2 linked regions of the Notamacropus eugenii genome follow. The protein of the gene in region 1 interacts with the protein of each later gene in a pairwise test. Links are inferred from orthologs where the notes say so. Each region holds a gene or a part of one and is shown on either strand. Other genes may lie near its edges. The genes, in order: BCL2L13 and PLP1.

The links.
Region 2: the proteins of BCL2L13 (region 1) and PLP1 interact in binary tests that used the Homo sapiens proteins (3 or more experiments, as listed by UniProt). The two-hybrid records come from large-scale screens. The link is inferred for Notamacropus eugenii from reciprocal best matches to the Homo sapiens genes BCL2L13 and PLP1.

Annotation. Positions count from the first base shown.
Region 1 is NC_092874.1:207,160,433-207,176,653, forward strand, and holds the start of BCL2L13 (bcl-2-like protein 13), read left to right. Parts: upstream 1-10,129; 5' UTR 10,130-10,483; intron 10,484-16,221. UniProt on the Homo sapiens protein: May promote the activation of caspase-3 and apoptosis.
Region 2 is NC_092879.1:92,930,677-92,947,491, forward strand, and holds the start of PLP1 (myelin proteolipid protein), read left to right. Parts: upstream 1-9,574; 5' UTR 9,575-9,734; coding exon 9,735-9,738; intron 9,739-16,815.

The sequences.
Region 1 (16,221 bases):
ATTCTACCTCTCCATTTCTCTTTCAGTACATTCCTCTCAATAGTAAATTTTATTTTTTAGTTATTCTCCCTTCACATTCAGCTCACCCTGTATCCTCTCTCTCTCTCTCTTATTTTCTCTCTCTCTCTTTCTCTCTCTTTTTCTCTCTCTCTCTTTTCTCTCACACACACACCTACACATATGTACTCTACATATACATACATAAACACATACACAAATATATATGTATGTATATTCTCTCTAACTATCCTAATATTGAAAAAAAAGGTCTCATGTGTTACAAATATCATCTTTCCATGTAGGAATGTAAACAGTTCAACTTTAATGAGTTTCTTATGACTTCTCTTTCCTGTTTACCTTTTCAAGTTTCTCTTTTGTATCAACTCATACAAGTCTTCATTCTTTATATTTTGTTTTACTATTTCTTGGTCTCTTATAACTTTGCCATCTCCCCTTGCCCAGTAATAATTTTCAAGGAGTCATTTTCTTCCTTAAGATTCTGAATCTCGGGGGCAGAGCCAAGATGGCGGAGTAGAAAGACGCACATACACATAACTCGGAACCCACAACCCACAGAACGGCTAGAGGGGACCAACCCACGGTGAATTCTGCACCCAGACACCACGGAATATTGGAGCGAGGGAGATTTCTGTTCCGGAGAGACCTGCAAACCTCTCGTGGGGGGTCCTTCGCGCTGTGGACTGGGTGCCGGGACTGGGAGCTGAGTGCAGCCCTGCAGCGGCCGCGACACCATGAGGAAAAGATCTGAACGGGCTATGGGGACGAGATATCCTGCAGCCACGAGGGTCCCTCCACCCACAGAGGGACCTGCAAACCTCTCGCAAAAGGTCCGTTGCGCTGCAGACGCAGAGCCCAGCCCGGACCTGCGGCGGCCACGGCTCCGAGAGGTACAGATCCGAGCAGGCTTTAGGGACGGGATCTCCAGCGGCAGCACAAGCCCCCCCACCCACAGGTGACGAGGGTCGGTGAGAGAGTCTCTTTGGCGGGTCGAGAGGGGAGTGGGGTGCCCCCATGGCTCGGCCCCCTCCCCCCCCGGGAGATAGAAGCTGAGAGGCGGCTGCAGACTCCCCAAGCGGGCGGGAGCCTGGATCCATTGTGGAAGGTCTGTGCATAAACCCTCTGAGGGAACTGGGCCTGAGAGGCGGCCCTGCCCCGACCTGACCATCTGAACTTAATTCTCACACTGAATAGCAGCCCTGCCCCTGCCAAAAGCCCTAAGGCAGGAAGCAGCATTTGAATCTCAGTCCCCAAACGCTGGCTGGGAGGACCAGGAGGCAAGGTGGGTGTGAGGAGAATATTCAGAGGTCAAGCCACTGGCTGGGGAGAATGCCCAGAAAAGGGAAAAGAAATAAAACTATTGAAGGGTACTTTCTCGGAGAAAAGACACCTCCTCTCTTCCTTTCTGATGAGGAAGAACAATGCTTACCATCAGGCAAAGACACAGAAATCATGGATTCTGTGTCCCAGCCCACCCAATGGGCTCAGGCCATGGAAGAACTCAAAAAGAATTTTGAAAGTCAAGTTGGGAGAGGTGGAGGAAAAACTGGGAAGAGAAATGAGAGAGATGAAAGAGAAGCATGAAAGGCAGATCAGCTCCCTGCTAAAGGAGAACCAAAAAAATGTTGAAGAAATTAACACCTTGAAAACTAGCCTAACTCAATTGGCAAAAGAGGTTCAAAAGGCCAATGAGGAGAAGAATGCTTTCAAAAGCAGAATTAGCCAAATGGAAAAGGAGATTCAAAAGCTCACTGAAGAAAATAGATCTTTCAAAACTGGAATGGTACAGATGGACGCTAAGGACTTTATGAGAAAGACAGATATCACAGAACATAGCGTGAAGATTCGAAAAATGGAAGATAATGTGAAATATCTTTTTGGAAAAGCAACTGACCTGGAAAATAGAATCAGGAGAGACAATGTAAAAATTCTGGGACTACCTGAAAACCATGATCAAGAGAAGAGCCTAGACATCATCTTCCATGAAATTATCAAGGAAAACTGCCCTGAGATTCTAGAACCAGAGGGCAAAATAAATATTCAAGGAATCCGCAGAACACCGCATGAAAGAGATCCAAAAAGAGAAGCTCCTAGGAACATTGTGGCCAAATTCCAGAACTCCCAGGTGAAAGAGAAAATATTGCAAGCAGCTAGAAAGAAACAATTCAAGTATTGTGGAAATACAATCAGGATAACGCAAGATCTAGCACCCTCTACATTAAGGGATCGAAGGGAATGGAATAGGATATTCCAGAAGTCAAAGGAACTAGGACTAAAACCAAGAATCACCTACCCAGCAAAACTGAGTATAATACTTCAGGAGAAAAAATGGTCTTTCAATGAAATAGAGGATTTTCAAATTTTCTTGATGAAAAGACCAGAGCTGAAAAGAAAATTTGACTTTCTAACACAAGAATGAAGAGAACCATGAAAAGGTGAACAGCAAAGAGAAGTCATAAGGGACTTACTAAAGTTGAACTGTTTACATTCCTACATGGAAAGACAATATTTGTAACTCTTGAAACATTTCAGTATCTGGGTACTGGGTGGGAGTACACACACACACACATGCACACACGCACACATACATAGAGACAGAGTGCACAGAGTGAATTGAAGAGGATGGGATCATATCTTAAAAAAAAAATGAAATCAAGCAGTGAGAGAGAAATATTGGGAGGAGAAAGGGAGAAGTTGAATGGGGCAAATTATCTCTCATAAAAGAGGCAAGCAAAAGACTTATTAGTGGAGGGATAAAGAGGGGAGGCAAGAGAAAAACATGAGGTCTACTCTCATCATATTCCACTAAAGGAAAGAATAAAATGCACACTCATTTTGATAGGAAAACCTATCTCATAATACAGGAGAGTGGGGTACAGGGGCACAAGCAGGGTGGGGGGGAGGATGGAGGGGAGGGCATGGGGAGGAGAATGCAATTCGAGGTCGACACTCATGGGGAGGGAAAGGATCATAAGAGAATAGAAGTAATGGGGGTCAGGATAGAATGGAGGGAAATATAATTAGTCCTATACAACACAACTAGTATGGAAATCTTTTGCAAAACTACACAGATTTGGCCTATATTGAATTGCTTGCCTTCCAAAGGGAAGGGGTGGGGAGGGAGGGAGCTAAAGAAGTTGGAACTCAAAGTGTTAGGATCAAATGTAATGTTCTTACCACTGGGAAATAAGAAATACAGGTTAAGGGGTCAAGAAAGCTATCTGGCCCTACAGGACAAAAGAGAAGACGGAGACAAAGGCAGAGAGGGATGATAGAAGAGAGAGCAGATTGGTCACAGGGGCAATTAGAATGCTTGGGTTTGGGGAGGGGAGGAGATAAAAGGGGAGAAAATTTGTAACCCCAAATATTGTGAAAATAATTGTTAAAAGTTAAATAAAAAAAAAAGATTCTGAATCTCCTTTTCCAGTGGGTTAACTTTCTTTTCATAATATTATTTTTCTTGGGTTGTTCTTATTTTAAAAAATTTTTTCTCAAATGATAAATGTTGGAGAAGATGTGGGAAAATTGGAACACTATTGCATTGTTAGTGGAGCTGTGAACTGATCTAACCATTCTGGAGAGCAATTTGGAACTATGCCCAAAGGGCTATAGAACTGTGCATATCCTTTGACCCAGCAATACCACTTCTAGGTCTGTATCCCAAAGAGATCATAAAAATGGGAAAAGAACCCACACATACAAAAATATTTATAGCAGTTCCTTTTGTGGGGGTAAAGAATTGGAAATTGAGGGGATATCCAACAACTGGGGAATGAATGAACAACTTGTGGTATATGAATGTAATGGAATACTATTGTGCTAAGAAATAATGAGCAGGCAGACTTCAAAAAAATCTGGAAAGACTTATATGAACTGATGCTGAGTGAAATGAGAAGAATCAGAAGGACACTGTACATAGTAGCAGCCACATTGTGTGATGAATGACTTTGATAGACTTAGCTCTTCTCAGTAACACATGATCCAATACAACTCCAAAAGACTCATGATGGAAAATGCTATCCACATCCAGGCTTTGATTACTTCATCTGAACTGATCATTTTTCATTTGGGGAATGACATGTTCTTATAAATTTGATTCAATTTCCTATATATTTGTGGGATGCAGGCAAAGCAGTCCTTAGGGGAAAATGAAAGTATCAAAAATGAAAGGGGTGAATTCACCACCAATGAAGAAGTTAAAGCAATTATCAGGAGCTCTTTTGTCCAATTACATGCCAATAAATCTCATAATCTAAATGAAATGGATCTCTAAAAATACAAATTACGCAAATTAACAGAAGAAATAAAATACATAAATAACCCAATCTTATAAAGAGAAATTGAACAAGTCATCCATGAACTGTCTAAGAAAAAAATCCCCAGCATCAGATGACTAATATGGAAATATTTTATGTGATTGCAAATGTATAACCTATTTCTGATTGCTTTCTATCTCTAGGAGTAGGAAGGAAGGGATAATGGGAGGGATAGAATTTGGAACTCAAAACTTCAAAAAAATGTAAAAGAATTGTTTTACCATGTAATTGGGGAAAAAATACAAAGTATATTTAAAAAGAGTCTAGATATAATCTTTCAAGAAATTATCCAGAAAACTGCCCTAATGTTCTAGAACCAGAGGGTAAAAATAGAAATTGAAAGAATCCATTGATCACTCCCTGGAAGAGATCCCAAAATGAAAACTCTCAGGAATATTATAGCCAAATTTCAGAACTCTCAGGTTAAGGAGAAAATATTGCAAGTAACCAAAACCAATTTAAATATTGTGGTGCCACAGGATAACACAAGATTTAGCTGCTTTTACATTAAAGTATCAGAGGGCTTGGAATATAATATTCTGGAGGACAAAGAAGCTAGAATTACAAGCAAGAATCACCTACCCAGTAAAACTGAATATAATCCTGCAAGGGAAAAAATGAATACTTAATGAAATAGAGGACTTTTAAGCATTCCTGATGAAAAGACAAGAGCTGAATAGAAAATTTCATTCTCAAGTACAACACTTAAGAGATGCATAAAAAGGTAAACAGGAAAGAAAAATCATAGGGTTAAATGGTTTACATTCTTACATGAGAAGATAATACTTGGGTTTGGTTTTTTTTTTTTATTTTCAGTGTTCTCCAATCAGTACCAAATAACTTGGATTTTTTTCCCTCCCTCCCCCTCCTTCCCCTTATCCTTCCCCCTTCTTCCCTGAGACAGCATACAATTTTATATTGGTTCTACATATACATTCCTACTAAATACATTTTCACCATAGTCATGTTGCATAGAAGAATTAAAAGGAATGGGAGAAATCATATAACAAACCAAAACATAATGATCTGCTACATTCTGTGATTGAATTCCATAGTTCTTTCTCTGGATATGGAAGGCATTTTGCCTTAAAAAATCATTGGGAATTTTTTAAGTACTTGCATTGCAGTAAAGTTCTAAGTCTACCAGAAAAAATCCTCACACACTGTGGTTATTGCTGTGTACAAAGTTCTCCTGGTTCTGCTCCTTTCATTCAGCATCAGATCATATAAGGCTTTCCAGGCCTCTCTGAAGTCTTCCTGTTAATTATTTCTTATGGCACAATAGTATTCCATTACATTCACATACAACAGTTTATTCAGCCATTCCCCAATTGATGAGCATCCCCTTGATTTACAGTTTTTGGCCATCATAAAGAGTGCTGCTATAAATACTTTTGTACAAGTGAGACCTTTTCCCATTTTTATGCTTTCTTGGGGATACAGTCCTAGAAGCAATATTGCTGGGTCAAAGGGTATGCACATTTTTGTAGCCCTTTGGGCATAGTTCCAAATTGCTCTCCAGAATGGCTGGATCAGCTCATAGCTCCACCAACAATGAATTAGTGTTCCAACTCTCCCATAACTTCTCCAACATTTATCATCTTCCTGTTTTGTCATGTTAGCCAATCTGACAGATGTGATGTGGTATCTCAGAGTTGTTTTGATTTGCATCTCTCTCTAATCAATAGTGATTTAGAGCATTTTTTCATATGACTGTAGATGGCTTTAATTTCTTCCTCTGAAAACTGCCTGTTCATATCCTTTGACCATTTATCAGTTGGGGAATGACTTGTATTCTTGTACATTTGACTCAGTTCTCTCTATATTTTAGAGATGAGGCCTTTAAGAAGATGATACTTGTAACTCTGAAGAATGTTATCATCATTAGGCTGGAAGAAGTATACACAGATAGACAGCTTGGATGTGACTTGATTATTATCGGATGATATCTAAAAAAATAAAATTAAACAGTGAGAAAAAGGAAGGGGAAAGGTAGGGATAAGGAGAAGTAGAATAAATGTACCTAAAAGAGGTGCAAAAGAGCTTTTGCAGTATAGAGGATGAGCAGAGAGGTGGGAAGGAGAGCACTTGATCCTCAACTCTCATTGGAATTGGCTCAAAGAGGGAATAACATACGCACTCAGTTGGGTATAGAAATCTATCTTATCCTACAGAAAAGTAGGAGGGGAAGGGAATAAGAGAAATGGGGGGATGGTGTTAATAAAAAGAGAGGTTTGGGTTGGGGGAAGTAGTAGTAGGAGTCAAACCACTTTTAGGATGGACAAGGTGAAAGGAATGATAAGAGTAGGATAAACAGAAGAAGAAATAGAATGGAGGGAATACACAGGAATCATAAATGTGAAAAAATTTTTGCAGTTAAGTTTCTCTGATAAAGGCTTTATTTCTCAAACATATAGGAAACTGAATCAAATTTATAACACAAGTCATTCCCTAATTGATAAATGGTCAATTCAGATGAAGTTATCAATGTTATCTATTGTCATGTAAAAAATGTTCTAAATCACTATTGATTCAAGAAATGAAAATTAAAACAACTCTGATGGACCACTTCATACTTATCAGATTAGCTAATATTACAGAAACAGAAAATGACAAATGTTGGAGGGGATGTGGAAACACTAATGCACTGTTGGTGAATTTGTGAACTAATTCAATCATTGTGGAGAGCCATTTGGAACTATGTCCAAAGGGCTATAAAACTTTGAATACCCTTTGACCTTGTAATACCACTATTAAGTCTGTATTCCAAAGAGATAAAAAACAAAAAGAAAGGGACCTATTTGTACAAAAATATTTATGGCAGTTCTTTTTGTGGTGGTAAAGAATTGGAAATTGAGGAGATGTCTATCAATTGGGGAATAGCTGAAGAAGTTGTGGTATATGATTGTGATAGAATACCATTGTGCTATAAGAAGTGATGAGTAGGATGTTCTCAGAAAAGCATGAAAAGACTTACATGAACTGATGCAAAGTGAAGTGAGCAGAATCAGGAGTACACTGTACATAGGAACAGCAATACTGTAGGATGATCCACTGTGAATGTCTTACCTATTCTCAGTAATAGCAATAGCAATAGTCCTGTAGGTCCTCAAGTGCAGCCTTTTGACAGAATCCAAACTTCCCAGAACAAATCCCACATGTGGCCTCAAGGCCACAAGTTCTCCACACCTGATCAAGAGAATTCCAAGTGACTTTCTCCACAGAAAGAACTGATAGAGTCTGCATGTGGATCGAAGTTTGCTTTTTTTAACTTTATTTTTCTTGTTTGTTTTTGTCTTTTCTTTCACATGACTAATATGGAAACATATTTTACATTACTGCACATGTATAACCTATATTAAATTACTTGCCTTCTCAACGAGAGGGGAGGAGAAAGAGGGAAGGAATGAATTTGAACACAAAATTTAAAAAAAATGAATGTTAAAAATAGGTGTGCTTGAAAGAAGAGAGACTTGAAAGAATCCAGAGGTGGATTTAAGCAGGAAGAGCATGTCAAGCATGGGAGACAAGCAGGGAAGCTGGACTCGTGATTTTGGAGTGTGTTTTTTTATATGGATTTGAGTAGCCAACATGATGCAGTGTACATTGTGTTGGGGAATATCAGGCCTAAGTCTAATCCCCACATTTTAATAAGTAAGCACTTAACACTAGAAGAACCAGGCCATTGATGAAGAACTTTTGTATTTTTACTATAAGTTGCTTTAATTACTGGGGGCAACTAGTGGTGCAAAGCATAGAGCACCAGGCCTGGAGTCAGGAAGACTAAACTTTGTGAGACCAAATCCAATCTTAGATACGTACTAGCTGTGTGACCCTGGGCAAGTCCCTTAACTCCGTTTGACTCAGTTCCTTTATCTGTAAAATGAGAAGGAAATGGCAAACCAGTCCAGTATCTTTGACAAGGAAATTCCCAATAGGGTCATGAAGAGATGTACATTTCTGAAGAACTTTCTGAACAGCTCTCCATGCAAATGTACTTTAAATATACATATTTGCAAAGAATTTCTAATTTTACTTTTAAATAAAAAAAATTCACCTCAGAATCTCTGTTCTCTTTGCCTGAAGCAGACATTTTGATTTTACTTTGAAAAAAAATTTCACCCTATCTCAAGTTCCTTTGGCTACTTAAGGTAATTACAAGCAGATTTTCTTGAAATAAAAATTTTTATCCTATCTCCATTTTCTTTGCCTCAAGGTCTTGGATAAACAACAGAAATGTAATGAGTCAATTAACTCAGCTTCCTCTTTTAGACCTTGTCTTGACTTCTGGTGCTTCTCTTTACCTAGTGACTGAACTGTATAGGAAATTGCTAGATTGCTAGGCAAAGGTGGGAGAATTGCCTAGAGTAGTATGGTATTTCATCACATAACTGTTACCACCGTATGCTCATCACACTCTGTTTTTTGTCTAAAAATTGGTTTATGACATTTCATCGCATAATCGTCCCATGGTAGAATTCTGCTCATCATACTGCTTAAAAGGTAAACAGAGAAGCATATGGATACATATGTATCTTTGGCATTGTGACCCAGGTGCAAGGGGAGAAGGCATTGAGTAAGTCGCTCCATATGGTCAGACTTGTATCTTCCAGCGCTAGCTAAAATGTACAGTTTGTCTTTTGGCAATATATTCATGGGCAAAGCATTTCTTTCTGATGATAGGTAAATATAAAAACTATTCTGCCGGCTTCACACTGAAAGTGATTGTGTTGCTAAACAGTGTTGTGGATTCCTGATGTGCAGGACCCTCTCAAAGAATTCAGTCTTCCCACCTCTAATCCAAGTACTAGGCATTTATTGAGATTGACGTCTCATGAAGTGGGCTCAGTTCCAAGAAGAACCAGCAACTTCAGAGGAAGCAAGATGGATTTTTATAGGATAAAGATGCAATTATATAACAGAAATTATGAATATTAAAAAGGCAGGAGGGGTTTGCTAAAGGATTGGGTAATGGAGGTTTGGTGGTTAAACATTCTGGTCGCGCTGCCCTCCATGGGCAGATATTGTGGTTCTGTCTGGTCAAGAGGAAGAGTTAGGTAGTGTGGTCCTGTCTTGGCCTAAATGGACGACGTGACTGCGGTTGAGTGCAAGAACAGGCCTGTTCAATTACGTGAACTGGATCTGAGGTCAGTGGTTAGCTATGGCCAGCGGGCTTGTTCGGTGAGATGGTCTGAGTGGTGCTAGACTGGCAGAAACTAAAAGACAATACCCGCACGTTTGTTTTTTTTTAAATAAATCTTCACATAATGGTCACACCCCACTTCTTTTGGCAGGACAAAATCTACAGTGATAATGAGATGAAATAGTCATCCACTTGAGTCAGAGCGCGATACACCCAGTATGTGTCAGAAGCTCGCCTATGAACCCACAATTCCAGGGTTTGGGGCTGGCTGTCTCTCCACAACACCCTCCGGCCCTCAACTGGAAAAACTAAGACCAGGCCGCCCACCTCCAGACGCCTTCGGACGTAATGACATCACCCCACCCTACGTAATGACATCCCCATATCCTGCCCAATGACACAGCTCTACAACGTAATGACGCCACCGCCAGCCACCTCACAGCGCGTGTTTTAGAAGTAATCCCTCGCCTCCCCTTTCTACTTAGTTAGGAATGAGGCTCAAAAAGACATAAATTGTCTTTTTAACCTATGCTTACTCCCTCTCCCCCCATAACCATCCATCTTTTAGCCGAGCCACGACCGGAAGTAACTGCAGTCGCCGTCACTTCCTCCCCACGCTACTATAGAGTGGCGCTGAGCCGGAGGTGGAGCTGACACCGCAGACTCCTTCCGGTTGTGTCCGCGCCGGATCTCTCTCTCAGCCAAATCCCCGGACACCTCCCCCTCAACCGGAGGGAGGGGCTCTGCTTGCCTCTGGCCCTCCTTCTTTCGACCCTCCCCTTCCCGACCGCCTAGACGCTAGCGCTGACGTCACCACGCACGGGTGACCTCCGCCTCCATCATGGTCGCGGCAGTAGATTAGGGTCGTGGGCCGGGCCAGTTGTTGTTGCCGCCACCGCTGCGGGATTGTTTGAGGACCCACCGTCGCCGCAGCCGCTGCCTCCTCTCTCTCCTCCTCCTCCTCCTTCTTCTCCTTCTTCTCTTCCTTCCCCGGAACCAGGGCCAGGTGATGAGGGGACGGGGTCCGGGCAGCCAGGGCCGGGCCGGGCCAGCCGAGGAAGCCGGGGCTGGAGCCGGGAGCTCGGGTGCCCTAGCTCGGCCTCTCCTTCCCAGCCCTCCCCCCGCCCCCGTGGCTTTTGTGCTCCCAGCTCCCCTCCCCAGGCCCAGTTGGGGTGAAACTAGACCAGTCCCTGGCCTCGAGCCTCGCTTTCCAGCGACAACTTTTGTCCTGGGAGAGGGAGTGGGGTCGCTTCCACTGCAGGTCCGAAACATGAGGCTTGCGTGTGGTTGGAACTCAGAGACCTGATAAATTGTAACTCTCCTGCTTAAGTGTGATCAAGTCATGTTACAAATGATACTGACTTGGGTACGTCTGGGTCACTCGCCCAATCGCTGGTGTGGGGACTAGTTAGTATGACCCCGGATTAATGAAGCCACAGAGAAATGCTGGGGTCCATGATAAATCCGACCTATCAAGGTTTTTGTCAGGAACAAATGAGGTAGTCTATGCAAAGCGCTTGGCAAAGGCTACTTGTCAGTAAACCGGGCTGATTCTTTATAGTTTGCTTCTGGATTGCCTCTTTTCATCAAAATGGGGGAAAACGAACGGTTGAAAAAAGCTGTTTTCACAGGTTCTTTGAGAGAAAATTTAGTACCAGAACGCCAGTGTTATTTATTTCTTCCCTGACGTACTTAGAACTTTGGATAAGTAGACACTTTCTTCTAGTATTTTTTTTTCCTCTAGAGAATTGAGCAAGTACTAATCTGCTGGTGATGTTTTTGTGCTTGTGAAATATTCACAAGCCCTTGGGTAAATGTACCTTGTGTATCATGATTATTTAAAGCATTATGAAATAATCTTTATTTAGCAATATGAAGCTGGGGGAAATGGGCTCAGAAATTATCCCGATGTAGATCCTGTTCATTAATCATTCAGTCTGGAGATATGTGGAAATAATTATAGAAGCTAATTATTATATTTTTCAGACATTTATTAAGCACCTACTATGTGGCAGGTATGTTTGGTACTGAGGATACAAAATTGAAAACCAATACAGTCCCTTCTTTTAAGGAATTTACTATTTTAAGTCGACAACTCTCTCATCTCAGAAACACTTCACTTTTCCATCCGTCAACCTGACTCACCTCTGGTGTAGCCAATTGTAATAGGGTTCAAATTGATCTACTTGCTTCTTCTCCAACACCTACCCTCCACACTGCTGCCAAATAATATTACCAAGTCTTTATCTTCCTTTCTTGGCAACCCTCTTTATCTAACTATTGCTGCTAGGGTAAAATCTAATTATCTGATAGTGCTCTATGCTTGATGCTCCTTTGCCTTCTCCCTCTTTTCCTCTTACCCAGACCCCAAGCATAGGTTTTTACCTTTTATTTTTTTCCTTTTAAATCTTTTCTTCCCAGTTACTTGCTCTGAATTTTGTTGTGCCTGTGATTAATCTCTCTCTTCTCTACCCTCTCCCTGTTCCTTATCCTGTTGAGTTGAATGTATTTCTACACCAAATCCTTTGTTCTACCCTACTTGGACCAGTTTCACATGACAGTGAGGTTAAAGTGATACCAGTTTCTCTCACCCCTTCTTTTGTAGAGATTTCTTTCCATACCTTGATCAGGTGCACACATCAGTTTGACACTTTTCTTAGATCTTTGTCTAGTCTTGGGGGGAGTTATCCCATCTTTCAGGCAGACAACATGCACAGTTGAAATGGCCCTGAAGCCTTATGAGCACCTAATTTGGGTAAGGGGAAGCTCACCAATGAGAGCCCAGCTCCCCAAGGGTAGTTCCAACTGAAATACATTAGAGAAAAATGAAAGTGAGGGAGCCTATATAATAGGTTGAAGATACTATACTAAACCTTATTCCTTCCTATTTTGAAGGATGTGAGATCATGTTTAGTAGATTATGTAAGCTAGAAGTTAATATTTATTAGAAAATTCAGTTAACAAATAGCTATTGAATACCTTTAATATTAAACCTTCAGAGCAGGGGTTCTGAATCTGGAGTCCTTTAACTTATTTAAATATTTTGATAGCTCTTTCAGTAGAATTGATCTCCTTTGTAATCCTAAGCTTTTTATTTTATGCATTTAAAAACATTCTGTGAAGGGGTTCATTGGATGCTGTGTTCTTGACCCCCAAAAAGTTAAAGACATCTGCTTTAAAGTATGATGTTGTTTCCCTGTGTTACCATTTTTTGTTTTTTAGCAAAACAAAAATGTTGTTTTCTCACAATGAGATTTTTAAGTAATAGCCCAGCCAAATAAGGTGGTTGCCATATAGCCCTTTACACATATTTCATTTTATTGCAGAGGATTGTGCTGAAGGCAAGAGGTGCCTTGAAATATGAGCTGTATATAGAAAGAGTGGGGCTTGAGGGATAGATAGATATCTTGATGGATAGATAGACTTTCTCCAGTAAGGAAGACTTGAGATCATGAAAAATTCTTTTTGTGACTGTTAATTGGAGTGGCTTATCTGTATTGGTAGAAGTTTTCTATTTTTCTTTCTATTCTTGCCCTGTCCCTACCCTAAGCAAATTTTTTGCACTAATATCACACTCACCATACTCATCACCTATTTATAGATAATCTTAGGGAAATTTAATTAACTTATTTTGAAAAGCACTTCCTGAAAAGTTCTGTTTGTAGTAGTAGAGATCAGAAACAAAGCATAAAGAAATGCCATTCAGTGACTATAAATATTTTTGGGCAGTTATCACAAAGTTTTAACTAGTGTGTTTCAGTTAGATATGCATGTTTTTGAGCTCAATGGTATATTATTTATTAAAATACCATACTTAGCCTCTGTTGTATTTTTTAAACAAGTTATATCTTGACTGGCTGTGTTTCCCACTATGGTGGAATGTCTGCATCTACAACTTGTATTTAAGCATCTTCATTTTTTGCTCTTGAAGAGAGATCTAAAGACATATAAAACATCAATGAAGTACTTATCTCAACTGACTACACCAACAAATTCTACATAATTTATCAAAGTGATGCCCCAAAAGATTTAATCTTTTCTCTCCTACTGATATCCCAGTATCTACTGCAACTAGCCCTGGCTTCATTTCACTTCCAAGTCATCTCCCCAGCTTCTTTGCCTTTTGAAGCAGAAGCCTTGGTGGTTGTTGTTTTCAGTTGTATGCACCTCTTCATGACCTCATTTGGGGTCTTCTTGGAAAAGATACTGGAGTGGTTTGCCATTTCCTCCAACTCATTTTACATATGAAGAAACTGAGGCAAACAGGGTTAAGTGACTTTCCCAGGGTTACACAGCTAGTAAGTATTTGAGGCTGGATATGAAATCAGTCCTGACTCCAGCCTGGCATCCTGTTCACTGTGCCACCTAGCTGTCCCCTGTCATTAGTAGTCCTTATTGTTGTTCTCTACCTATTATATCTCCTAGACTCCAGGCTAACTTCTTGTCATCTCCCTTTCCCTACCCCTTCTGGTTCCCACCTTACAATTCTTGAACCATAATCAAATCAATGTTTCATTGCCCTTGTGAAGGAACATTTCAAAACACTACTACTCCCCCTTTCACTACTCTTCTAAGAGAATGTAAACTTCTCACAAGTCAGTCCGTCCTTATTTTAGTACTAGCCCTAGCTCTTGTATTTGTTTTCTCTTGTCAGTTCTTTCATCTTTTAGATCCCTTCCAGATCTAAATATATGAGATAAATAAAGTAAATTATTGTATTAGTCAGATTATTGGTGAAAATTTATGCAAAGCATCCTGCTGATATCAGTATCTTTGAGATGTAAGCAGAGAACTGGTAGTTAGATTATTTTCAATTATAGAGCAGATCAACTTGATTCCATTTTTTCATCTATAAAATGGAATTAAGATGTGTTAATTCAGCTCTTCTGTTATAGTAGTGTTAATAATTTTATTAGGTTTATAATTTTAGGAAAATTTTAATTTTAAAATGGTTTAAATTTGTTTCTTTTCGTTTTTTGATAACACTTTAACCAGCTTCCCTTCCTCCTTGACCAATGCTTCCTTCTTCCCCTCATAAGCATAATCCAGCAAAACAAGTCCTTATATTCAGTAAGTCTAAATATTTAGGTCTCATGATGTCCTTGTAGTTAGTTTTCTCTTGATCAAGATTTAGAAAGCTTCAGTGATCTTTTTATAGGCCAGAAGATAGATCCAGAGAATCCATGTGACGACTAAGATCATGAAACTGGTTAATACTGTCTGGTATTCAAGCCCAGATCTTATAATTCCAAATCCAGAGCTCTTTGTATTATGCAATAGATAGAAACTGGAGTCAGGAAGACTGGAGTTCATATCTTGCCTCAAAAGCTCACTAGCTGTGTGACCCTAAGCAAGTCATTTAACCTCTCTGTTTCAGTTTCCTTCTCTATCAAATGGAGATAATAATAGCACCTACTTCCCAGGGCTGTTGTGAGGGTCAAATGAGTTAACATTTAGTGTCTTGTACACTTTAAATCATTATGTAAATGCTACTTTAGCAAAATTGTTTATAAAATATTATACACATGAAAGTAATTTTTAGCCTTACTGTTATACATGGAAGTAGCCACCACATATTGGTTTGTTTAGTAGGTTGTTGTAAAGAAAGTATGCAAACTGAAGGGCACTATCTCCTGAATGTCTTGCACCTTTCCTATGCTTGTTGTGTCTTTCCATCATTACTTGATGGATTATTATTAATCTTTTGTGAATTCCTGTTAAGTTCAACTCAGATGTCACCTTTTCTACAAAACCTTCCAGATCCATATATTGTTCCCTTTTCTCTTTCTGAAATTCCAGTCTCATATCATGAACATTTCATACTAGATAATTCATAATCCAAAGTCCTCTTGTCTAAAATAACACTATCTTTTCTTCTGTACTTCCGTATTACTACTGTCCTTCCTGTTACAAAGATTTCTAACCTCAGTGTTCACTCCTCATTTTTCTTCACTTCACATGTCCAAGTTGTCATATCTTGAAAGTTGTATTTACATTCCTTGCACCGCCCCTCCATCTCCACTCTCTGGATCAAACTCTCATCTCTTCTTATCTATGTTATTGTGCTGTCTTCCTAATTGTTCTTTCTGGCTAAAATCTCTCCACAAAGTCCTTCACAAAGCTTCAGAAGTGATTTTTCTAAAGTATAACTTCAGTTTTTCTGTTATTTCTGATATCAAATATAAGCTCTTTGACATCAAAGGCTTTTCATAATTTGGCCTCTTTCTTTTCAGTCTTCTTTTATACATTGTTCCTCTATTGTCCAGCCAAAATGGCCTACTTGTTATTCTTTACACAAAACCCTTCATCTCCTATCTGAGTGTTTCTGTTTTGGCTATCTCCCGTGCCTTGGATGTCTTTCCTCCTCGCCTCTGTCCTTTCCAATCCCTGTTTTTCAGCCTTTGTTGTTGTTTGTACTTCATTTTCAAAGAGCACCAGTGACGTCATGGGTTGATGTCTTGGTTTTAAGTGAGGCAGAGTTGCACAGAGTTGTCTTCTTCACTCTTTTCCTGAGTCATTGAAGTCCATTGAAAGGACAAAAGTCAAGATGGGCAGTGGCCCAGGATGTCTGACCAAGCTCTAAGCAGTCCATGGCCCCTGCTTCAGCGTCTTTGTGGTCTTTGTAACAAATTGTTTTCATGTACTCGTTCCACTGGGGAAAATCTTCACATGCTTGGGGTAGACATTTGAGGTAGACGTTTGAGACCCTTTGGTTACCTTCAACTTGTTTTAGTCTGCCTGCTG
Region 2 (16,815 bases), on another chromosome or scaffold:
GCCAGTGGTGGCACTATCATTCCCCTTGTCCTTCCTTGACTGCCATCTCAGTGGCGTATTGACAGACTGATTTTCACTGAGTTTGCACTCACCGAGTGTCACTAGTGGGCTTTTCCATAGGGAGCCCCAGCTTGCCCACAGAAAGGAAGATGTGTCACATGACTTGGTGACCTGAAGGATCCAGGAATGACAGACTTTCAAATCAGTGAAAACAGAGGAAGAAAAAACCAGGTTGAGAGAAGGGGGCTCAACACTAAAAATAGCCATGATTTTTTTTTTGCAGGGTGAGAGGGCTGTGCGGGGGATTGAGAAGGGTGGTAGAGATGGCCAGGATTAAAGAATCATTGGTTCTGACTGTTCTGGAGAGAGGTGGGTGTTTGTGACTTCAATTTTCTGGATCACTTCCCAGAACAGTCATATAGATCAAGCACTCACTTCTTTCACGGTGGACTGGACTCCCCCTCACTTGGTCCTTGGGACCCTGGGACTCCATGCCCCCCATTCTGTGCTCTGATGACTCTTTCTGGGTTAGGAAGAGTGAAGCTCAAACTTTGGCCCCTGGGCCAGGCTGCCTGAGAAAGGAAGGCTAGCTACCAGGAGCATTTAGGAAGTTGTTGTATGGCAGAGCTTATGAATTTTCTTTGAGAGTGGGAGGAGTAGAAACCTCCTTGGAGGTGATGGGAGAGGGGCACTTAGTCCATGCTCTGCAGTACTTTCCCGCTGCCCTTGTCTCCCTTTATGGAACATAAACAAAGTCACAAACACTGTCACCTGGTCCCATTAGGTAACTCTAATGTGTGATCTTCAGTGTCCTTCTGGACCAGGGCCTGGGAGTACTGCTCAGACCCCCAGGGCAGCAGTTAAGATGTAGTGCAGGCCTGCTCTCAACTGCCAGGGAGCTGCTGGAGCAGATCATGGAAGCCCAGAGCAGCTGGTGACAAGAAACATGTGGCTATGTTGGGGGGGGGGTCCCTCTGGCCCCCTATCTTCCTGGCTCTCTGCAGAAGATCGTCATCCAGATCACACTGTGTGTGTCTTGGCTTTGATTCTCATTCATGAAATGGGGAAGGCTCAAGACCACACACACCCAACTGGCCACATGTGTGTTTGACCCATGGCCTCCACTCCCTGAGTGCCGGTCACTGAGTCATTGAATTTTAGAGTTAGAAGGGGCCTCAGTGGCACCCAGACCTGAACAAGAGTCCTCATTATACTGTCTCCCAGCTTGGGCCCCAGAAGTGGATATCCAGCATCTGCTTAGAGGGCCTCCAGGGAGATGGAGCCAGTCCCCTCTCAAAGAAGCCCAGTCCACTTTGGGGTAGAGCTCACTGGGAAGTTTTACCTGGTACCAAGTTGCAAGTTGCCTCTTTGCACCTTCTCCCCTCCCCCCTTCCCCCTGCCCATCATTGTTCCCTCATGTATCCTCTGGGGCCAGGCAGAGCAATGTTAATCTTTTCACATGCCAGCCACTGGATCCACCCAATCCAATCCATCCATCCATTAATGGAAGGCAGCCAGCCATTGTGTCTGCCCTAAGCCTTTTCTTCCCTGGAGTCAACATCCCTGGTTCTTTGAACCTATTCTCACATGATGTGGGGGCAAGGCCCTTTGCCCTCCAGCTGATGAATGTCCTTCTCACACCAGCACCCAGAATCACACACACTACTCTAGGTGTTATCTGACCAAAGTGGGCAACGGCAGGACTTGTACCTTCTTGGAAGTCATGGCTCTCAATGGAACCCAAGACCATGTGGGCAGCTGGAGGCCCAGCAAGATGATCACACAAGCACATAGGCTTATCTTAGGTCGTTGCCTGCTCCTGGACTGCCTCCCCTTAGCTCCAGGGGAGTGTTTGAGACAATGGTCTTGACAACCTTGACCCTACTGGGCACCACCAGTAAGACCCTCTGGCAAGGGTACTATTGAAATCTAGGTTGGCTTCTTGGAAGACTACCCTACCTGGGGACAGGAAACCAGAGTCCCCCTCTCCCACCATCTTGTAGCCATTGAGCCTGGAGGCTGAATCCTGTGGGAACCCTGAGCTCCCCAGCGAAGAGTCTGCAGCCGTTCATGGCCCATAGGTCTGTGGTTAAGAATCAGACACCAAACCAGGTAAAGAGACTCATGCCATGTTGCCCTAAGGGAAGGCAGGCAAATTTTTTTCCACCCACCCTTTCACCTCCACCTGAGGTGGGGCTGCTAAGGAGGGGAAGAGAGACTTAGAGGGACCTTGGCCAGGACAGCAGATAAAGAACAGGGAGGTGTTTTGGCCTCAGAAAGAGTGTCCAGAGTGGAGGTCATGTGGAAGGCTCAGACTAACAGGTACTCAGCCACAAGGATCAACCAAAAGCATGAGAGAAGGAGAAGGGCCACTCGGCCCTCCTCCAGCATCAAGGAGGCCTGGCCTTGGGAAGGCACCAGGCCCACAGACACTGTCCAGGGAGCTCTACTAAGCCATGGAGGGAGGCATACTGTGCTGCTTGGGTTTTACTGTCCTCCTTTAAAGCAAACTTATTGCTGTAACATTGAGATACCCCAGGAGTGGGCCTCCACATCCTGAGGACACTGGGCACAGACTGCTGGGGACTTCTTTGTTGACATCTGCAACCCAAGAGATGTACCTGAGGTTCCTGGGATGTTACACCTAGAGCTGAAAGGAGCCATGGGCCCTCTAGCCTAACTCCCTCATTTTACAGAGGAGGAAACTGAGGCCTTTCTTGGCCTGAAGGCATCTCTGACTACCTGTGTGGGCCTCAGTTTTCTTACTTGTAAAATGTAGGTGCTAGACTATATGACTAGCTCTAGATTTATGTGGGATGACCTATACACAAGGGTCACAACTGGGACCCTGCTCCCACTCCCCTGGAGGGGAGCCTCTTGTCCCTCCCTTCAGGGCCTCACTGGCCTGTGGACTACTCAAACTTTCTCAGTCCATTTGGGTTTCTGGTGTGAATGGCAGTACTAGATTGGAATGCAGGTTCAAATCCTCCCCAGACTTCCTAGTTATGTGACCCTGGGCAAGTCAGTTCTTTTTTCCAATCCTCAGTTTTTTCATCTGTAAAAGGGCTGCATAATCCTTGCATTGCCTGCCTCTCATGGCCATTGGGAGGTCTTATAAGTCTTAAGGGCTGTTTCATTTTGGGGGGATTCTATATCCCTCTGACTGTGGTAAAACTCAGGGACCCCTTCTCAGAAACATGTTTTTAAATAACAGAAAGAAATGCTAAGTTTCAGAGGTTACTGAAAATGAAGATGTTAATTTTTTTCCTAGCCAAGTTCATGTCACTCCCCAATCTCTCCATGGACCTGTTGGGGCTCAGGTTAAAACCCCTTCTGGGTCAAATAAACAAGAGTTCTTGTGGCCATGGGGTATGGGCCCTCTGCTGCCCACCCCCCCAGAATCACCTCCTTCAAGCTTGGCTTGTTCTACATCTGAAGCTGGGCCACCCCAGGAATCTTGGGGGCTTGTTCTCCATCTCCCCAGGGCCTAGGGGAGCCAAGAGCCCCATGTGCATTGTGCCCAGCAGTTCAGCTCCACAGGCTCCAAGCTTCCCTCAAACCCCTGGTTCTCTTCTCCCAATCTGCCTGCTGGCCATTTCGGAGGACCACTCCTTCCACCTCAGGCCTGCCTGAAGTAAGGGCTGGGGAGGGAGACAGGCAGCAGCCGCAAAGCTGGGAAAACATGGGGTGAGGCTGCTGATGGGCTTTTTGCAGGTGAAAGACATCCCCTAGACATCGGAGACAGTGCTAAGAGCAAGGGTGTCAAGGCTAGCCCAGGGGGGCTTTTTCTTGTTTCAGCCTTGTGAACAGAGCCTGTGCTGATCCAGTCAAGCTTGCCCCCCTCCTTGATTGGGCTGCTTGGCCCCCATTGGTCCTCTAGGAACTTGGGAACTAAGCAGGGGCAGGGGAGGGGGAACAGGCACATTCACAAATGAATACTCTGAGGGCAAAAGGCAGGACTCAACAAGGTTCATGCCAAGCATCCCTGGGAAGGAGGGATGACTTTCGGTGGAGAAGGCCAAGGACCAGATGGGTATGGGTCCTGGAGGTAGTCTAGTGCATATTACTGCATGGTACCAGGGCAAACCACTTCCTGCCCTTTGGGCCTCAACTTCCTTATCTACCAAACAGTCAGTAGCATGTTTAGGGAAGCTGCAGAGAAATGAAGGCTGTGGCAAAAGCCTGGAGGAGGGCTTTCCAAATGATTAGCATGGGGAAATGTGTGAACTCAGTACAAGAAAGATTTATTGATGTGAAGGGAAATTGATGTGTGGAAAATAAGATTAGGGAAGCCAGACAGGGGAAGGCCTTCAGTTCTTACCAGGACAGCTCCTATTTGATCCTCAAGGCACTAGAGAGCCACTAAAGATTGAGTGGAGAGAGTGACACGGTGGTCAGGCCTGTGGTATAGGAAAATGGTTTGGGTAGATGTCTGGAAGCTGGGTTGGAGAAAAGGGCTGCTTGGGTGAGGAGGCCATTTCAATAATATAGGGGAGAGATAATGAAGGCCTGAATTTGGGCAGGGCCGTGTGAATGTAGAGAATAGAATCAGCACTGCTTGGCAAGACTGGCTACAGAGGATGAAGGAGAGGAGAGAGTAAAGGATGACCCCCAAGTTTAGACCCCTAGTCTAGAGAAAGCTCCTTAGCCCAGGGTTTACAGACCTGCTGCCCCCAAGGACTCATGGCTAGATTGGGGTGGGAGGCTGGGGAATGAACCTAGATAGTAAAACAACTACATTTTTTTACTAGGCTGCAATTGAAATTTCTTATTTTTGTCAGTTCCTTAAAAGCATGAGGGCCTAAGGAAGGCAGGTGTATGCACTGGCAGGGATCTGTATCCACAGAATGGATGCCCCTGGTGGGCAGAGGTCAAAGCTTGGGGGAGAGGTCTGGATGAGCAGTCAACTGGCTCACTACCTCCATTCAGATGCAAATGTTTTTCTCTCCCGTTCCCATGAGTGGGACTGGTATCTGGCAGGGCCGAGAGGTCAAGGCTGGAGGAAGGCAGGGAGGCTGAGATGCTTGGACCTCACCTCACCTTGGCCGTGACTTGACTCCCAATTGACCATAGTGAATCAAAGTTTAAAGAGTTGAGACCTTAAGGATTCTTTCCTGGAAACTGCCTTACCCAAGTATCAGAGAGTATGCTTTCTGTTATCTTTGTAGGGAATTTCTGGACTTCTCCTCTGCCTGGGAACAGCCTGGGATTTCAGAGGAGGTCAGGGCTTGAGGGGAGGCCCTTGGTTCACAGCTTGACAAGTGTCTGCTGATAGCTGAGATGCCTTGTTTGGGAACCCCTAGGTAGGGCCCCCATCCACTGGCTGTTCTCCAACCCAAATGTGAACCTAAACCTTGGCTCTCATTCAAATGTCTCAACCCCCACCACCATAGATCCAAGTTTATAGTAGAGGGTTAGTGAATGTTTGTGGCCTAAGGCTACATGTAGCTCAGACCTCCTGTGACCTATGTTCTGAGGCATGATGCTAGGAAAAGACCCTGCTTCATCCCCATCTGCCATCCCCAAGTGAATCAGCCTGCCTTGGAAGGTGAGAGCTGGTAGTTTGTCCTTCATTCTGAAAGAGGACCAATGACATCATGAGGGTGATGTCTTTCCTTGTGAGTAAATTGGGTTTAAGTGAAGTAGAGCCCCACAAAGTCATCAGCCTCACTCTCTCTTCCAGTCATCAAAGTCCGGTGGAAGGGCAAAAGTCAAGATTGGCTATGGCCCAGGATGCAGTGGATGTCCTTGGCTTTTCTAAATCAAGGTCTTTCCAAGGCCTCAGTTTACCTGAGCCCACACACCCATTCAGTGACCAAGGGCTAGGTAAGAATTGAGACAAAAGATGGCCTAATTTACCAACACATCAGTCTGGGAGGGGCAGACCCCCCAAATTTCTGACTGGAAGAGAAAACAATAGCTATTTACATTGATTGGTAACTGGTGACCTTTAAGACAAGACTGAGTAGCTCATTCAGGATTCTCTGACTCCAGCCTTCTCTCTGCAGACCACAGAGGTGGCTAAGAGCAGATGTCATGGCCCTTGGGAGAACTGCTTCTGTCTTGGACTTGGCACATGACTGTGGGCTCTCTGGGAACCCTTTCAGTCATGTGTGCTGTCATTGGGCTTTGTGATTCTGAGATCCCCACTGTATTGTGTGTCTGTTCTCTGCCACTGGCTAGGGAGCAGGGCAGGGGGCGCCATTTGCCAGGGCTTTGAGGGATCTAGGCTTGCTGGGCTACCCTGGTGGATTTCTACTTCCCTTCTCCTAAAATACTTGTCTGACGTTGGGCTTCCAGGTGATTTTCAGCTCCATCCCCAGTACTTGTACCCTTGGCTTTCCTCACACCTCACCCACCCCACCTCTTAGAGCTAGAGTCATAGCTAGAGGTTTCCATTCTCAAGCATCTCCACTCCATCCACAGCCTGGCCAGACTTAGCCCTGGGCCCAAGAAAAGCCAAGTCAGTGGATATGGGGAGGCATAAGGTAGAGGAAGCTGAGGACATGATGTTCACATGCAGTATGTTGCAGATGAGCAAACCTCTGCCCCAGGCTTAGAACAAGTATAGAAAGTAACCCATCTCTTCCTCTGATTATCAGTCCAAGGAATATTTCCCAACAGTAAAGAACCTTATATAGGTGATGAATTTCAATTTTCTCTCAGCTGAGATGAGGCCTTCCTCCTGACTCGAGTCTGAGGGGCCAAGTTCTAATCTTGCCTCTGCTCTTACAACTTGTGACCTTTATGGGTCTCAGTTTCCTTATCTGTAAAATGAGGAGGTTAGGGTTATGATTGGTCCAGCCCTGGATCTTTGAACCTACGATCCCCCATTAGCCTCCACTATGATTGAGCACCTCTCCTGGGCCCTTGGGGCAGCAGTCACTTGGACAGGCACGGTGGGGCAGGAGAGCCCACCTTCTGTGACCTTTCTAGGAGATCAGGCACACAGGGAGCCCTGAGGAGAGCCTGGAGCTGCCCACGGGGTAGCTCCTAGGAAGGGAGGCATGCACCCCAACACCAGCTGCCATGCTAGGTGCCCACATCCTATCAGTTGGCCTCAGCGTTGCATGAAGCAAACTGTTTACCACTCCTTACACAAACGTCCATTGTTTCAGAGGCGCCCACTGCTCCAGGCATCAAGCAGCTGCGGAGAAGGCTGGCACTGCCCTCTGGAGGGATACCTGGGGAGTGCTGGGGAGCCCTGCCAAAGGGATCTCAGGTGGTTGGGGCAGAGCTGGGGAGAGCCCCTCACTTGCCAGCTCATGTGGCCATGTTCCATTTGCTTGGCATTTCTATGACTGTGCTGTCTCCCAGGGCCTGAGAGAGGCTCCCAGGCCTCCTTCTGTAGGCCTGCTGGGCCCCAAATCCAGAGCACAGACAGGAGGCCATCCTCTGGCATCCCCTACAGAGAGGGAGGCAGGGCAGGACAGACAGTGGGAAATGGGAAAATGTAGTCGGTAAAATGGAATTTCGTTGGCATTCCTCTGGTTTTCTTCCAAGCAGGTCTAGTCCTGGCCCTATTTGCTGATTTTGCACTATTTACAAGCTTCCAGAATATGAATGACTAACGGGGAATCCTTTGTGTCTGGACACAGCTTTAGAGAACCCTGTCCCTTTCTATCCCTCCCCTCCAATCCAAATCATCCAGGGCAACTCAGCATAGTTTTACTAAATAGTGGCCCAGGACGCCACAGGGAGGTAAGGCTAGATTTGAACTGAGCTCTCTGCACTCCAGAGCAGGTTACATTGTCACCCCTCCCCAGGAGAGAACAAGACCGGGCTCCCAGGATTTCCTCCCCAAGCAGTAGAGTCCAGCTGGTGGCTAGGGGCCTGGGCTGAGGCTCACCCTTTGGGGGTGACCGTGTGAGCTTCTGCATGAGAACAGGACCTGAACACTGAGATTGAAACTGCAGGGGGTGGGTTTATTCCAGAGCGTGCAAGCTTGGGTAAGTGATTCCCCCTCCCACTGGGCCTTAATTTCTCCCTCTGTAAAACGAAAGGCTTGGATTAGATGATCTCCCAAATCCCTTCCAGGTCCAAGGACATAGCCTATCTGGGCCCATGCCAGCTCATCCCTTACCCCAGCCTTCAGAAAGTTCACTCTGCCCCCAACAGAAAGGCAAGAAGAACATCATGAACTTCCCAATGTGGTCATGAGATCAGAGCAGTAATAAGTGAGAGCGAGGGAAAGGAGCCAGAGAATGTCCCCTCTGCACCTCCCCCTTCCCCTCTGCAGAGGTAGGCTGCATGGCAAGGGGCTGGGCTCACGGACTCTTCCCACAGCCAGACTCTTGACATGTACCTGTCCACCCCAGCAATGGGCAGAGGAATCCCAAAGGCCCCCAAACCAGAGGAGGGCCCACCTCCTCCAGAAAGCCTGTGGAGATGACCACTACCTCACACTGGACACCAAGCACTCCTGGACTCCCCTAACCCTCGGGGAACACTTCTCCCTTTGGTATCCTGCTACTTAGAAGCCCACCACTCTATACCAGGCTCTCCCTACTTGTTCCCAGACCACTGCAGCAACCTTCCCAATGGTCTCCTTGCCTCCAGCCTCTCCCTTTTCTAGTCTGTCTTCTACACAGCTGCCAAACTTCTACTTCTAAAGTACGTCTGACACATCTGACCATGTCACTCCTTTGCACAAGATGTTTCCTCCAGGATAAAATGCCACCTCCCCTGTTTGACTAATTTCATATGAACTGTCTCCTCCCTCCACGGCCCCCACCTCACAAACTCAACTCTTACTTGTTCTTCCTGGTACCTAGAATTCCATTATCTCCTGCCTCTGTGCCTTTGCCCAGGCTGTGCCCATGTTTAGAGTTCTTTTATTCTTGGTTCCTTTCAAGTCTCAGCTCAAGGGTCAAGTCTCACCTACTAGCACCTTTTTCTGACTCTTCCTGTGATTAAAGCTTGGCTGCACACAAGCACAGTGGAATGTCAGCCCCTTGGGGGTAGGGTCTGTCTCCCCAGGGCCCAGCACAGCACTCGCCTTTAATGGAGGCTTCCTAGGGCTTCCTCATTCTTTTTCCTTGGCTTTTTGTCTGGCTCCCTGAGACACTAACTTGGGGGGTAAGGGCAAGCTCCATATGCCCAGCATCTGGCACAGTACCCAGCACACAGTAGGTGTTTACACACAGGAGGTGTTTACTTGTTAAGTGATTGTGCATTTGGGACAAGGTAACCAACAATTCCTCAGTTGGATCTTGGTCTCAGGGCATCTGACCATCTCATCTTTGGAACCCCACCCCACTCCATTCCCCCCAGTGCCATCCCCCCTCCTTTTGCCCATCTGGCTACCAGAATCATTTCCCTTCTGGCAACCCCCAAGCCATAATTTTTGATGTTACTGAGGAAGAGTGGGAAACCACACTGACAGCAACGAAAGGGAAACAAAATCCAATCTGGCAGCTGTGGGGGAAAAGCAAAGACACAGCAAGCCCTAAGAGAAGGGAGTATCCCGGTGAGGGGGGGGGGGGAAGGGGAGGAGAGGGGGCAGAAGGGAGGAGGAAGAGGAGGAGGAAAGGAGGCCTGTCCCTTTAAGGGGATTGGCTGTCAATCAGAAAGCCCTTTTCTTTGCTGGAGAAGAGGACAAAGATATTCAGAGTGAAAAAGTAAAGGACTGAGGAAGGAGAGGAGAGAGCAGCCAGGATTCTCCTCCCTGAAGCAAGTCTGTCCCAAAGTCGGAGAAGCAGCCAACCCTAGTTGGAGTCCGGAGTCCCAAAGCCATGGGTAAGTTTGCCAAGAACTTTAGCCACAGACACTGGAAGGTGGGACTGGTCCAGAGCTGGGGTCAGGCTGGGGATGCCCTTGGGGCTTTTGAATTCTAGGACTGGAGCATTGGGTTTCTAGTGATTCTGGGGTCAGGATATTCACTTTCGGCCCTGAGGGTGCTGGGTGCTGCTGCCTCATCACTCTCCATTTAGGATCCTGCTGGAGGAAATGCCAGTCAAGGAGGATAGATTGGCCTTTGTCCCTTTGCCCGGCTCCATTTGTCTCCCTCTTCCTCCTTCTCCATTGCTCTAAGGTCTTAGTGGCTGCTGGGCCTCTCCTTCCCCTCTCTTCTGTGGGACCAGGCTCAGAGTCTCTTGGAAGCTGGCCCTTAGCTCTGTCTGTCATCTCTTCATGGCTTGGTAGAAGCCTGGGGGCGCTGTCCTCTGGCACATTCCCTTCTAAGCAGGGTCTTCGGGGTACAGTTATCCCAGCCCATTTGTCAGCTAGAGTGTCCTTCACAAGAGAGTGTACTTTGCTCCTGTAGAAATGCAGGCTTTGCCTGAAAATCTCAATCGCTTCCTATAGGAACTCCACTCCAGTGACCCTCTGGTTGGTCCCCAGACTTCTGCTACACATAAAGTTCTCACTAAGATGACCATTTGTGTTCTTTCTAGTCCTTTCTGAAGGATGGAAAGAGGGACCAAACATTTATATAGTGCCTACTATGTGCAGGCACTGTGCTAAGTGCATATTTGTAAACAAATATGATCTTGTTTGAACCTCACAACAGCCCTGGGAGATAGGTGTTATCATTATCCCCATTTTACAGATAAGAAAACTGAGGCAGGCAGAAGAAAAGTGATTTTTCCAGGGTCACACAGCTAGTAAGTGTCTGAAGCTGGAATTGAACTCTAGTTTTCCTGACTCCAGGCCAGTGCTATATCCATTGAACCACCTAGTTGTCTCAGTGTACAGAGGCATCTTTTTGCAGGCCTTGTACTGCTAGTGGGGTATAATAGAAAGAAGGTTGGCAGAAGAGTCAGGAGCCCCCAATTCTGTCACTCATTAATTGTGTCATCTTGGTCAAGTCACTGTCTGGGTCTCAGTGGCCTCCTACAAAAGGAAGTGTTTGGATGTCCTGATTTCTAAGGTCCCTTACTGCCTCAGATCTCTGGCTTGGCTTCCCCTAGCTGTAAAATGAAGGAATTTGCTTGCATGCCCTTTCATCCCCATGCTGTGGTATAGTGGAAATCCGGCTGAATTTGGGGAGGATGAAGGTTTGAATCCCACTTCTGTCACACTGGGCAAACCGCTTAACTTCCCTGAGCCTTAGTTGTCTCTTCTGTATGATGGGGCTAATAATGGTACCTCCCTCTCAGGATTGTTGTGAGACTCAAGATAGCATTTGTGTAAAAGTGCTTTGCCAACCTTAAGATGTGGGCTCTGATGATTCTTAGGCACTATACCTGAACATCAGTTTCCTCACTTGGAAAATGGAGATAATAATCATTGTTCTGCCCCCTTAATAGGGTTACCAGTGGTCTTATACAAGGCAGTGAATGGGAAAGTTCCTTAAAAGTTATACTCTACAAGCACATGAGGGCTTGACTCCGAGCTGGCTCCAGCTCCCTGGGGTGGTTGAGCCCTTCCAGAAAAAGTTCTTGGAGTACTCTAGGTATTAGTGTCAGAAACATGTGGTCACCAGAGGAAGGTGTCTGGGGAAATGTCCTCTGGAGACAGTGGGATGCCAGGCTCCAGTCCTTGGAGATACCAAGGACTTGCCATATGGGCCAGGGAAGAGGGTACAAGTGAAGTGGTGAGTGGCTCAGGTTCCAGATAAGAAGGGATGAGGGTGAGGAGGGGTGTGAACAGGCTGAAATGCAATGCCTTTCTGCCAGCCAGGTATTGGCTTTAGATTTCAGCAGGACAAGACAGCCTCAGATAGAGGGTACTGCCAAAAGAAGGGGCAAATCGTACTGGAACTAGGCTCAGAGATAGGCCATATGCATCAGCTCCCACCTATTGGGTAGATGGAGAATAGTTCAGCCCGCTGAGATGAGGCCACCTCATGATGGCCCCCGGGGCTGTGGCCCCAGCCAACTTGTAGCCATGACATTGCAGAATGCTATAGTGTCTACCCTGGTTCCCGAAAAGACTGCAGGGATTGGGATTAGGGAGGCATCAATGACAGGTCCTTATGATTTGGCTTTGGTGGGGGACATGGACAACAGGGCAGAAGAAACCCAGAGCAATGCCAGATTCTCTTTTCTTGGTAATTGATCACCCCTCTTGGAGCAACAAAACTTTGGTTCCTAGAGTCTAGCCTTTAAGACTGAAGATTGAGAATGGTGGCTGTTACCCTGGTAACCAGACATCTTCTGCTTCATTTGAAGAGCTGTTGTTTACTGAGAAGGAAGTTTGGGCTTGCTTGGTGTGTGTGTGTGTGTGTGTGTGTGTGTGTGTGTGTGTGTGTGAGTGTGTGTGTGTGTGTGTGTGTGTGGAGGGGGGCTCAGGAGAAGAGTATGAAGGACAGAGCTCATGGCTCAGTCCAACAGCCCACAGCACCAGGAGACAAACTGGGTTCCATCAGCAGCCCTGATGTTACTTGAGTGATTATCGAGGAACAAACGAACATGTTCTTACTTAGCCAATCTGTTCCTGAGATAGCAGACTAATGCATTTGGGAGACCCCTTTGTCCCTTCTCTGACCTCCTCCCCACCAAAGCTAGGTAAACAATGAGCTCTGGGATAGGCAGACAGCAGGAAAGCACCAGAAAGAGCAGTAAGGGAGGGAAGGAGGAGAATCTCATCCAGGAAGGGAGACAGAGGTTTGGGAAGAGCCCTGGAATGAGAATCAGAGGACCAACCTAGGTACAATTCCCACCTTGAAGCATTTTGGGCAGATCACTCCCCCTCTTGGCTTCAGGTTCCCCATCTGAATGAGATGAGAGTCTCGTCTCGTCTAGTCTAGTCTAGTCTGATGAGAGCATCAGACTAGAATGATGTTCTTTAAGGTTCCTTTCACCCCCTATGTTCTATGGTCCTATGAAGCAAGAAACAGAGAAAAGGGTTTGCCTTTCTGAAGGGACTGGCAGCCAGAAACCCAGTGCTTCTAGATTTTTGTGGAGCAGGGGAGAGTGGGAACAGGAGCGAGGATTTGGGCCCTGGACCCAAACCTGTTGGGAGTGGAGCCTGTTCCAAGGATGGCATGCATCCTTCCCTCCCTACAGAGGAGGAAATAGGCTCAGAGATATGAAGGGATTTGGCCAGGATCTCCCAGGTCAGCAGTTACAGAGCAGATGGGTTTGGCCCATCGTTCTCTGGATCATAGTCTTCTGCCTTCCAACCATGGTGCTCAAGGAATGGCAGAATGGTCCAAATGCTGCTGCCCCAGAAGGAGACAGTTTCCTCTAGTGGTCATCAAATGGCAGAACTTCAAGTGCTATGGATGATCACCTGGTCCAACTGTCTTATTTACCAATGAGAAGACCTAAGACCCGAAAAAGAAGGAAGGGACTTGGCTAAGCTTCCTCAGCCAGCTAGCCAATGGTGGGGCTCATTACCTGACCTCATGTACCTGCCACACTTCATCCTCAGGTGGGGATCCCCTCACAGCAGATTGCCTCAGGGTTCATGCACCTTCATCTTCCCCACTCCACTCCCCCAAGCTGGCTTTGGAAGTCTCAGCAATTGGTCCTTGGAGCCCAAGGGAGGTACCAAGGCAGCAAATGAGGAAGGAGCAAAGAGGTGGAATGGGGAAGGAAGCCAGCTCACAGATAAGGCTTTGTCCAACTGTGCTCATCTTGGCAGCAAGGGTCATTGTTTATCTTGGCCTTTGCATGCTGTTTGTTAGTTCAGTCCTAGAACCCACCCACCAAACCTCACCCATCCCCAGTACCAGTCACGGCTGCTCTAGCATCTTAGACCTGTCAGTTCCCATAAGCCCCTATCAAGGAAGGCTCTGTTGACAAGGGCAGGGCTGAGAGGTTGGCCCTGGGTGGAGGGGGCAGAACAGGTCTCATGTCTGAGACTTAGAGATGAGAGCTCTCTTAACGGAGCCTGCTGCGTAATTAGGCCACCTCTCTCTCCCCTTTTGTCAGATGAAAGGGATAGGCTAGGAATTACACAGGGCTATGTTTTGTTGTCCTTGTCTTTCCATCCTCCGATGATCCCCTAAATTGCTGCGGGATTTTCACCCTCAAACCAATCATGAAGGGGACAAAGACTTGGGAAGCTAGCTTGTGGTAAAAGGCGATGGCTTCAGGTGGGATCCGGTCCTCACAGGTTGGCATCAATCTGAGGAATAGTTCTCAAGCCCCTGGGGACTCCAGCTGGTGACAGTCCTGTGACCTCCAGAGCCCCATGCAGGGTTCGGAGGGGAAAGTGCTTCAGGGCCAGTGATGGCTCCCTCTGAATCAGACCAAGTGGTCCAGATCTCTTAAAGAGTTCACTGACAATGAGCTCCAGTCAGCACCAAGTCACACAAAATCTCTTTGAATCGACACTGTCTCACACTGTCCTTTGATGTTTTCACAGGTTTTAGTCTAGCTGGAGAGAGAGACTCACCAGGATCCAGAATCTTAGAGCTGGGAGGGACCTCAGAGGTCACCAAGCCCACTCTCCTCATTTTACAGCTAGGAAACTAGGAAGTGACTTGTCTAAGGTCACACAAGGTAGTAAGTGGCAGAGCTGGGATTTGAATCCAGTTCTTGGAACTCCAGGTCTAGCACTCTTTCCACTGTACCACAATGCCTTCCCAAGACTATCAGCTCCTTGAGGGCAGCCACCAGAAGATGTCTTTTATTTTCTTCATGGCTTCTTGTCAGAGTCTTCTCAGCTATTCTTGTTTTCCCCATAGCACATTTAAATCTTGACCTAAAGTTTGCAAAGGATCTTTCTCAAATGACGTTAGAACGTAGGTAATCCAATGATGATGGTCCTCATCCTCAAGTCCAGGGTACTTTGTGCTGTGCTAAGATGTTCTCATGTAGTGGAAAGTTTGTGGGGGACTGTGAATCACATTGAAATTCCATCTCTGGAGCTCCTTAGCTGAATGACCTTAGGGAAGTCACCTTACCCTTCTGAGCCTCAGTTTCCTCATCTGTAAAATGGGAATAATGATACCTGAAGTATATCAGTAGTCAAAGGTTTTATTGTATTAGCCGGAGAAGTCTGGGGATATGACATCTCCCGGTGGATGAAAAATAGTTTCTCCAGAAAGCTCTGAAGGCCAGGGTGTTCTTGATAATAAAAGATTTTAAATGGAGAACACATGCCTCTTCTAGATGCAAGCAAATCGCTTGGCCTTCTGCACTGCAAATATTGACTTATGTCTATCGAATCTCATCTAACCAGCCTGCATAGCAGAGCCCATGTGAGCCTCAGCTGGAAGGGGACCGAGGACTGCCATGTGCACTCCAGGGGCCCGTATTCCTGGCATTTCCCATGTGGAGTCTGAGGTTTGGAGACATAACTAGGGCAGGGCTACTGGAGCTGTTTGCACACTCTAAGTTTCTGGACCCCGGCGAGGAGCTCTCACACGGATTCCTTCAGAGTAATTAAGCCCCCTGTCCCCACCTGAATTTGCTTTAATTACCTCCTTTTTATTTTCATACTGTGAATTACAAAGTTGCCTTTGAGGGTGCTTTGGGGCTGCTTGCCCCAAGAGACAAAGATGCCAATTGTGGTTCTGAAGACCAGTCAGACTTGCCCTCTGAGAATGCTGTTGGAGCAAACGGCCTTGTAAACGCTGATTTTCACTTGTCAGTTGGTCCGGGTCCTGGTGCTGGTACTGGTGCTGTCCCTGATCCTGGTGCTGATCCCAGTGCTAAGGACCAGGCCATGTCTGTCCTTAGTTGGGTTTCCATATTATCGAGGAGTTGTTTCTAGATAACCAGCCAGGTCTGTTTATTTTGGCCTTGATGTTAGATTTTTTTCTGAAACGTCTGCTTTTGCTCTCCCTTTGTTTTGAGCTGCAAATGAGGCACCAAGATATGCTAAGGTGTTTGAGGTCTGGGGAGATGCAGGATTAAAGGAGGACAGAGGAGCAGCTGGCAAGTCAAGCCCCTCCTTTCCCTGCTCCTGATTTAGCCTTCGCTGGAGCTAGGAGCATCCCAAAGGAAGGTCTTTCTGCCATTTGGAGGAGTGTGTACATGCAGAGTAAATGTGCTAGGTTGGGGAGGGGGCAATGCAGATCTTTGGCTTTTACTATATGGGCCTGCCCTATTTGGGGCAGCCTGGACAACGGCCAGTGGGTAGCACCCTTAACCCTTTCCTCACCACAGAGTCATTCCGTTGTTGCCCATCCTTCCTCCCACCCCCAACCCCTAGCAGCAGAATACTAAGGAGGCTGGAGAGAGGTAGCCTTGGTACAACAAAGCTCTTTTGTTCTGGAAATTGTGGAATGCTCTGTTTAAGTCCTGACCTTGTGGCAGGGTGAAAAAGTAGCAATGGGGTCACTGACCCCCCCAGAATTGAAGGGCCCTCCTTTAGAAGAGATTAAGATAGAGAAAACAGGGAGGAAGAGAGAGAGATGGAGACACAGAAGGAAAACATCAATATTGTCTACCTCAAAATTTCCTTTTCTCTTAACTCAGCAAAAACAAAACAAAACAAAACAAAACCGATTAGGATTGCTTGGGAATAAGGAATGTACCTTTCCTTCACTCTAAAAAGCAGAAGACTCATTTCAAGGGTTGTACTAAGAGGCACCATCTCTCTGTCACTCTTACTCATTGTGTGGGTGAATAAAGGCCTAGGTCTGTCAAAGCTCTTTTTTGGAAAGTTCTTGCTGACTAAACTTGGCCTCCATTCTCATCAGCGATGCAGCACTGCTACCTACATTCTCTGGACCCCGTAGAGTTCTGTGGTCAATTTTGGGTGCCATATCTTAGAAGGGACATTAACAACCCACACCACGGCCAAAGGAGGGAAGCCAGAAGGATGAGGACACACAGGCCACAGAAGAATTGTTTGAATAGTTAAATGAACTGGGAATGTTTAGCCTGGAAAAGGGGAGACTTGAGAGGGGAGCATGACAGCTGTCACATGGAAGAAGGAAAAGAATTAAGTTTTTAAAAATCGTTTTATTTTATT